2 linked regions of the Mus musculus genome follow. The protein of the gene in region 2 purifies or fractionates together with the protein of the main gene of each other region. This does not show direct contact. Links are inferred from orthologs where the notes say so. Each region holds a gene or a part of one and is shown on either strand. Other genes may lie near its edges.

Region 1 (4,264 bases), on a different chromosome or scaffold from region 2:
GTAATGCTCCCAGCTGATTCCCAGAGAGGCTCAGCGTCTTCAGGGCAGACAACTGCCCAAAGGTAGATGGTAGCTCTCTCAGGTGATTGTTGTTGAGACTTAGTGTCTCTAGTTTTTTCAGATTGCATAATTCATCAGGTAGAACAGCTGGTGAAGAAGAAATTAAAAAACAAATCCGATAGAATTAATGACATTTATAAAAAGACAGTATGGTAGCCTGCTTCATCTTGTTTTTGAGACAGGATCTCATTAAGTTGTCTAGGATAGCCTTGAAATTAAGATCTTTCTGCCTCAACCTCTGAGTAGCTGGGGCTACTGTAGGTCTAAGTCACCAGGTCTGGCTTCTTACATAGAATTCTCACAGGTCATGTTTAGGTTTCACAAACTGTTTGGGAGGTTAAGAAGCCATCAAAATGCAGAAAATTGTGTATGTGTGTAAGGGGTTCCTTTTGCTTAGCTGTATTCTAAAAACGATCTGAGGGAGTTTAAAAGATCCTCCCATTCCACCCTGCCCCGAAATTAGATAACTGTTTATATCGATTCCCAAAGGTCTTCCAGGTCCAAATTAACCTAGTAATAATCATTATACCACCCAAAGAGGCTTTTATATTTAATTACAAGAGATTAAAGCTTCAATACTCTAACATTCTGCATCCCCTAAAATGATTTCATAACAAAAATCATCTAACAGGAAAAACACCCTTCATAACTGCTGATTACTAGCAAAAGCTGCCCAGACACAAATTCCATACTCAGTTTGTTGTTGTTGAGGGAGAGGCTCTTTAGCAGAGTGAACTTTCCTATTATCAGAGGCGGTAGGCTGTCAATCTTGTTGTTGGATAAATCGATGGTCCTAAGATTGCTTGTCAGCTTCTGCAACTCTGAGGGGAACTGGAGAAAGGAGCTCACAGTTTGGAAAAATCCTGCACCAATAGTCTTCGCCACCCCGCCAACCCTAGCCCTTTTAGTTTCTTGGTCCGGTCCCCTCAGGTCTCACCTCGGTCAGACCACGGTCTTTAAGCTGAAAGACACCAGTTTTCTGCGCTGTTTCCACATGAGCACGGAGAGCACTGTTACCCATCCTAGCGCCACGGCTCAGTTCCCTGCAGGAAAAGAAGCATAGCTGTCACCGCCTAGTCTAGACATACAGTCGTCGCTAAATCTCCCGTTTGGGTCTCCTGTCCCAATTGTCACCTTCTGCCTATCCCTACTTCCCTGGGGCCAGCCCAAGAGTGGCAAGGAGAAAACAGGCGAGCAGGCAGCGCTACCACAAGGTCCTGATGCTTTGGCAGCAGAGCTAAGGGCCAGGGAGCCTCCGATAGCTGCTGCCGGAACAGGGAGCTTGAGACTCGCCTCCTACCGCTCAGTGCAAAGAAGACTCCGCCAGGGAACACCGGGGACCCGCGCTCGCCTGAGACGCGCTCCCAGGGCTTCCGCCCGGGCAGGAACGCCCTGTGACATCATCAAACCGCGCGCCTGTTCGCGGTGTTGCCCCTCACTCCTCGCGCCAGTTCCAGAGGTGTGCGGAAGCCATGGCGGCCGCCAACCCGTGGGACCCAGCGTCCTCGCAGACTGCAGCTGGGTTACTGCTAAACCACTTGGTAGCTTCGGGCATAGTCACTAAGGTACGTGGGGGCGGCGATGGCGTCATCAAGGTGGCGACAGAATTCTGCTGTGAGGTGGTGGTCCTGGTTATGCGGGCGTGAGTGAGCCAGCTGAGGACTGTGACCATACTCCCGTGGGTTCTTCGAGTGTGAGGGACTGAGTGGCTGGTGCACTGAGTGACTGAGCACTCTGTTTTGAGTGCCTGCGGGTTATCCCAGGACGGTTTGTGGGAGATGGAACAGCGCTCCACTTTTTTTTTCTTCCAGTGACACTACCTCTAGAACAAGTGTTCCTAAGGCTGCGACCCTTTAATACAGTTCTTCTGTAGGACCCCCGATATGGGGACTCCTACTCTAGTCCAGGGATAGGGTGCACCCACGAACACACAAGAATCCTTCTTGTTGCAATACACACGAGGCTTTATTGGCAGAGCTCTGGGCCGACACGTACCTCACACAGGAGGCAGGGGAGTCGACCCCGAGTCTCCAGAGCTAGGGGTTTTTGTAAAAGAAAAAGGGATAGGGATGCGAGGAATTTTAACAAAGGTATGGGATTGGGTCATTCAAACATTAACAGTAAGATTACATGTCAGCCAAAGGGCATCCGGACCTTGTTCCTGTGGGCTGGGGGCTTAACTTTGTTCTCATAGCAACCAGGTGATGTATGAAGCAATGCTGGGCCTCCAAGAAAAGGCCAAAATCTTTCACAGCGTAATGCCATCACAGTTCACCCTTATTATTTTAGCACTATTTATTTAGAGACCGAGTCTTGCTGTGTAGCCCTAGATGGTCTGTAACTCACTATCCCTGGCATTACAGGTGTGTACCGCCATGCCTGGCTGTTAACTCACTTTATAAGATGATATGGCAAAGAGGAGAGGGTAATGGGATCTAATTCTTCCAGCTTGCTGAGAGATACTGGAAGATTTTTTAGTCTTTTTAGGTGTTTCCTTTTTTTTAATGGAGAGGTGTCCTCACTCTATCCTAGGCTAGCCTTGAACACTGAGCCATCTTCCTGCTTCCAGCTCCTAAGACTCCCAAGTCTCTCGTGTCAACCATATGGAGGGCTGAATTTAGATCCCTAACGCCCAAGTAAAAGCAGTATGTGATGGTGCGTGTCCTAGAGCTAGGGGCCAGATACAGGTGGGGCTTGCTGGCTAGCTAGTCTAACCCAATCTATGTTACTATTGGGGTCTGGGCTAGAAAGATTTAGGTTCCTGGCCTCTTATCTAAAGAATTGAAAACAGCTTTATTCTGAGGGAAGGAATAACACAGAATATAGAGAGATATAGCATCAAGATTGAAAGCAGAACACTACAAAGGTCCCAGGTTATAGCCTGAGCTCTAAAGGAAGGAATTGTTTACATACAGGCATGGTTTGAGTGGTTCTCTACTCTTTTTTTTTTTAAGATATATTTATTTTGTAAATGATTATTATATATATATGAATGTATGTGTATCATGTGCATGCCTGTTGCCCATGGAGGTCAGAAGAAAGCATTGGATCCCCATGGAACTGGAGTAAGCCCCCATGTGGTTGCTGGGAATTGAACCTGGGTCCTCTGCAAGAACAACAAATGCTCTTAAATGCCAAGCCAGCTTTCTTTCCAGTCCTGTTTCTCTACTTTGGTTGATAGATTAGGTCAAACATTCTTTTCTTCTAGTGTCCATGTTCCTTCCTATAGCATCTGATTTTAATCATATGTATACTGTAGTGCTTTGAGTGAAAATGGCCTCTATAGACTCATATATTTGAATACCTAGTACCCATTTGATGGAAGGATTTCACCTGTTTGGGAAATATTAGGAAATGTGGTCTTGGTGGAGGATGTTTGTCTTTGAGCGTGGGCTTGGAGGCTCTTTTGGCCTCATGCTTATCTCTCAACACGTAAGTTCTCAGCTTCTTCTCCCATGCTATTTCTGTCTGCAACCATGCTGTCTGTCAAGATAGTCATAGACTCATAGACTCTTAACTTATGGAAGCATGAGCCCAAAAATTAAATGCTTATGGAGGTCAGGTGATTAATGGAGTTTTGGCTGAAGTCCAACTCACTGTTAGGTCCATTGAGTTCCCAAACTTATCCTGTAGTTATTTCCCCAGTTCCAGAATGTATATTTGGGATAAATATACTTAGAAGTCGGCAGAATTCCCATATTGGTTTCCTGACTTGTGGAGTGAGGGCTATTATGTTTTGAAAGGCCAAATGGAAGACATCGAAGTTGCCTCTACCAGGAAAAATAGTGAATCAAAGACAGTATTACATCCTAGGAGGAATTGCAGAAATTAGCAACACAACCAAGGACCTAAAAGATGCAGGGGTGGTTGTTTACAACACATTTCCTTTTAACTATCCTATCTGGCCAGTACAGAGGACAGATGGATCATGGAGAGTGACACTATGACCATCAAAAATTTAATCCAGCTGGGCACTGGTGGGACATCCCTTTAATATCAGCACACAGATATGCAAAACATTCTCTCTCCCTCTCTCTCTCTCTCTGCATATGTGTGTATCTGTCTGTCTGTCTGTCTGTCTGTCTTGTGCACACACACACATACACACAAACATGGTGTTATGCTGTTCACTTAGAAAATAGAGGTGTGAAGGTTAGAAGTTGTAGGACATCCTTGGCTGTACAGCAAGCTCAAGGCTAGCTTG
Region 2 (3,986 bases):
CTGTCTGTGGGGTGACTCCTACATCTCTGTCAGATGCTTTTTTAAAATTATTTTTTATTTTTATTGAGATAGGGTTTTGGTGTGTAAACTAGCTCAGACTGCCTTTAAATTCACAGTCTTCTTCAGCATCCACGTGCTGGGATAACAGGCAAGTACCAACATACTCAGCCTCCATTTTTTTAAAAAATGTATGTCGGTGTACCACATGCATACAGGTACCAGTGGAGGCCAGAAGGTGTTAGATCTCCTAGAACTGAAATCACAGTCTGCTGTTAGACATCTGCTCTGGATGCTGGGATAAGTCCTCTTCAAGAGCAGCGAATGCTCTTAATTGTAGGTCCCCCTCCTAGTCTTGACCTCTTCCTTGAATTCCTTAGCAGCTCTGACAAACTCATCCTTCTCCTTTTAGCAGTTTTGTTTACTGTGTCTACTTTTGACCATGTCTCACTATGTAGCCCAGGCTGGCCTTACACTCATGTTGACCCTTCTGCTTCATCCTGAGTGCTGAGACTATAGGACTCAAGACCTTCCTCTCTCCAACACCAATGCCCCATGTCCATACACCACTGCTCCCCATCTCGTGCCTGGCTCACCCTGGATCGCAATCCCTGGGAGCGCAAAGATCTGGGTTGTTTTGTAACATGGTGTTCCTGACAGACCCATCACCTCCAGGGCCTAGAGCAGAATATTTGCAAGCTGACTATTGGTTGAGGGAGAATATTAACCACACAGGCTTCTTACCTTTGGATTGTCCTGATAGGCATGCCTAGAGAAAAGAGAATAGAGTTAGGAGATGGCTGGGGCTTCCAGGGGAGAAGGCAGGAAGTAGAGGCCTTGGTTATGGACAAGGCTAGACAAAACTGGTGAAGATAGGAATCAATGAATTTAAGAAGCAGTTACCAGAGGAGGTTTCCCTGGATCTTCTTGATATTCCTGCATTGGAGAGATGAAGGGAGAGGAGTTGCTGTGGGCCTTCCCTGTGCCTTTCCCACTCTCTGACCCCCTCCCCTGCACTAGGTTTGGCTTACCTCTGACTACGCACATGCTGCACAATGTAGGCCCAGATGTCAGCGCCCTGACTCAGACACAGCCTGAAGGGATACAGCATAGAGTATGACTGGAGCATTGCCCAGGAGGAGAGGAGGACCCTCCACTGTCTCCACAGTTATGGTGGTGGAAAGTTCCAAGATTTCTCACTTCGGTGGGTGGGCCTGGGGGTTGTCACTGAGAGGGTGGCCTTCTCCCTAAGTCTGAGGGTATTCTTATTCCATGACAGGTTCTATTTCTTCTAGGAGAGGTTTAGTTGTAGTCACTTTCAGAGGTGGGTGTAAGAGGTTTCCACCCCAGGAAATGGTCTTTCATAACAGGGTCATATGCTACTGGTTTCTGCAGATTTGATCCCCAATAGAACAGCCACTGCCAACTGCCTAGTGTCACCTTTGATTAGGGTAAGAGTGGGTAGGTGAGGTGCTGTAGGAACCCCCTTATTCTGCAGATCTGTCTCATTCTCGATGAGGGATAAAGAAATAATAGTTTTGTTTTGTTTTTTTGGTTTTTTGAGACAGGGTTTCTCTGTATAGCCCTGGCTGTCCTGGAACTCACTTTGTAGACCAGGCTGGCCTCGAACTCAGAAATCCGCCTGCCTCTGCCTCCCGAGTGCTGGGAAGAAATATAGTTTTTAGCTTAATATTTTGTTTTGTTTTGTTTTTGTCTTTTCAAGACAGGGTTTCTCTGTGTAGCCGAACTCAGAAATTCACCTGCCTCTGCCTATCAAGTGCTAGGATTAAAGGGGTGCGTCACCACGCCCGGCTTAGTTTTTAGCTTAATTAATGTATACCAAAGTTATTTGCAGAGCTTGCTTCCCCTATCTCTGTCTCCTGCTGCAAGCTGTCTGCAGCAGCCACTCTCTATCTTCAGCTGTCTCCTGCTGCTTAAAGAATCTTCCCTTTCTCCAGGCAGTGGTGGCGCATGTCTTTAATCCCAGCACTTGGGAGGCAGAAGCAGGTGGATTTCTGAGTTCTAGGCCAGCCTGATCTACAGAGTGAGTTCCAGGACAGCCAGGGATACACAGAGAAACCCTGTCTTGAGAAACTCAAAAAAAAAAAAAAAAAAAAAAAAAAAAAAGAAAGAAAGAAAGATTCTTCTCTTTCCCTGCCAGTGTAAACAAATTCAAGACCACCCGGCCCCTTCCCTATCTGCAGGGACAGACTAGTGGTCATAAAGACCACAGCTGCCAGAAATGACCATCCTTGAGAAAACCTCCCTAGCCCTCCTCAGCCTGAATTCTGAGGAAAACTACAAGCTGCTTTGACCTTGCTGATTGCTGACAAAGTTTTCTGCCAAATTAAAATTATACTGTTGCTTTATTAGCCAATAATAAAATAGCTGTGTGAGCCCTTTCACAAAAAGTATAAATTAGCTGTATTTAGACAATCGGGGTTGACTCTCCCTGCGAGGCTGAGCAACCTCATGTGCGTCGGATTAAAAACCTCTTGTTATTACAGCGTCTATGATCAAGCTGTGTTTCTGGGGGTCGCGTTCTCTACACCTGGGCCCCGGGGGTCTAACAGGGCGGTGATCTTACTCCTCGAGGCTAATTCCAGGATGGGGAGACCTTACTCCAGAAGCAGCCTCACCTACGCAGCGTCGACTCCCGGGGGCGAGCTGCTAGGGGCACCTCCATCTCTTCAGCAGCCCAGCGACTCAGTTCCCGCTCTTTCTGCGTTAGTTCCATGGCTGTCACAGAGCTCAGCTGCAGTCGCAGCTTCCCGCACTCTCTTTAAGTATGGCGCCCATCTATGACGTCAGGAGCGCGACGCTGAGATGTCACCGGTTGCCAAGCAGACAGCAGGTCCCGGCTGACGGGTCTCTCTGTACCGGGCCGCTACCCGTAGCGGCTCTTGGCGCTCTAGTGTATGTAGGTTAGTAAATGAAAATGAAAAGGATGGGGTGAAATTCAGACACCCGCTTATCCACCTTTGTTCTTTCACTCACTGTAAGAGGCAGAAGGTTCTAAAAGCTTCACTCTACCTGGGGAAAAAAAGGGGGCGGCGGGTGGGAACGTGCAAGAAATTTCCTTTTCCCAAACTCGGGCTTTTAGACAAAACCCATCATTCTCTCAGGGACTTAAGAAAATCGTTTTTACTTGCTAAAAGTGGTCATTCTCCTCGTCTTTGGCAGAAGGGACATAGAACTCTTCCATTAATCTATGCCTTTGGTGGCGTCTATTGGCATATCGAGGTCTATGCTAGCTTCTAGGTTCCTTCAGGCCCTTCTCACAACAACCTCTTACAGAGTCATCCTGCCTGCCTGGCATACCCCGCCCCTACACCGAATCTCTCTAGCCCCCGAGCTTTGCCCACTTCAGATTCTCATAACTCAGCCATTTTGGCCACTCCCCTCTTTATTCCCAAGCACCCTCGGGGTCCTCTTGGAACCCTCTCTCCAAGTCTTCTCTTCTTAGCTCGCCCCCGCCCCACTCCCCACCTCTCCTCTCGTGGCCCCATCTATTTTGCTGGTTATATTCAGTCTGAACTCTTCCAGATGCCTCTGGCTGTACTCTTCTTCATGTCTACAGTAAAATCCTTCTCACCCATACTTAGGAGCATTCTTGTCCTGTTGTGGGTTGCCCTGGCGCCATTTGTATTTTGATGTTTATTCTGCTTCATCAAGAGGAGCTGTCCTCTACAATGAGCAGAGCGCATACTCAGGTGATCTCACTGGGCCTTCTTCCCAGTCTCAGAGAGGGAGGAGAGAGACATGGCCTGGAGAAGCCGCAAGTAGCAAGAAGTCTCATAGTTGGCAACTAGATTAGTACAGTGATAGATCTGCCCAATCTAGGCATATAGCTTATAACTATAACTGAGTTGTGTGTTTTTTATACGGGCTTATTGGGGTGAGAAATTACCGCAACATTGTCCTGATTTTCATTCAATGAGAAACAAATGAGAGACAATGGACTTAATGCTCATTTTATTAATTTTTAA

Evidence for each region.
Region 1: the proteins of Haus5 (region 2) and Haus2 purify together in Homo sapiens (affinity purification with mass spectrometry; 5 studies listed by BioGRID and IntAct, with this or other methods). This does not show direct contact. The link is inferred for Mus musculus from reciprocal best matches to the Homo sapiens genes HAUS5 and HAUS2.

Annotation. Positions count from the first base shown.
Region 1 is NC_000068.7:120,607,921-120,612,184, forward strand, and holds the start of Haus2 (HAUS augmin-like complex subunit 2), read left to right. Parts: upstream 1-1,464; 5' UTR 1,465-1,532; coding exon 1,533-1,625; intron 1,626-1,674; exon of another isoform or gene 1,675-1,738; intron 1,739-4,264. Other genes in the region: Lrrc57 (leucine-rich repeat-containing protein 57), read right to left, coding at 1-147, 753-891, 998-1,103, 1,361-1,464.
Region 2 is NC_000073.6:30,662,195-30,666,180, forward strand, and holds the start of Haus5 (HAUS augmin-like complex subunit 5), read right to left. Parts: upstream 2,801-3,986; 5' UTR 2,735-2,800; coding exon 2,637-2,734; intron 1,092-2,636; coding exon 1,029-1,091; intron 934-1,028; coding exon 901-933; intron 767-900; coding exon 742-766; intron 1-741.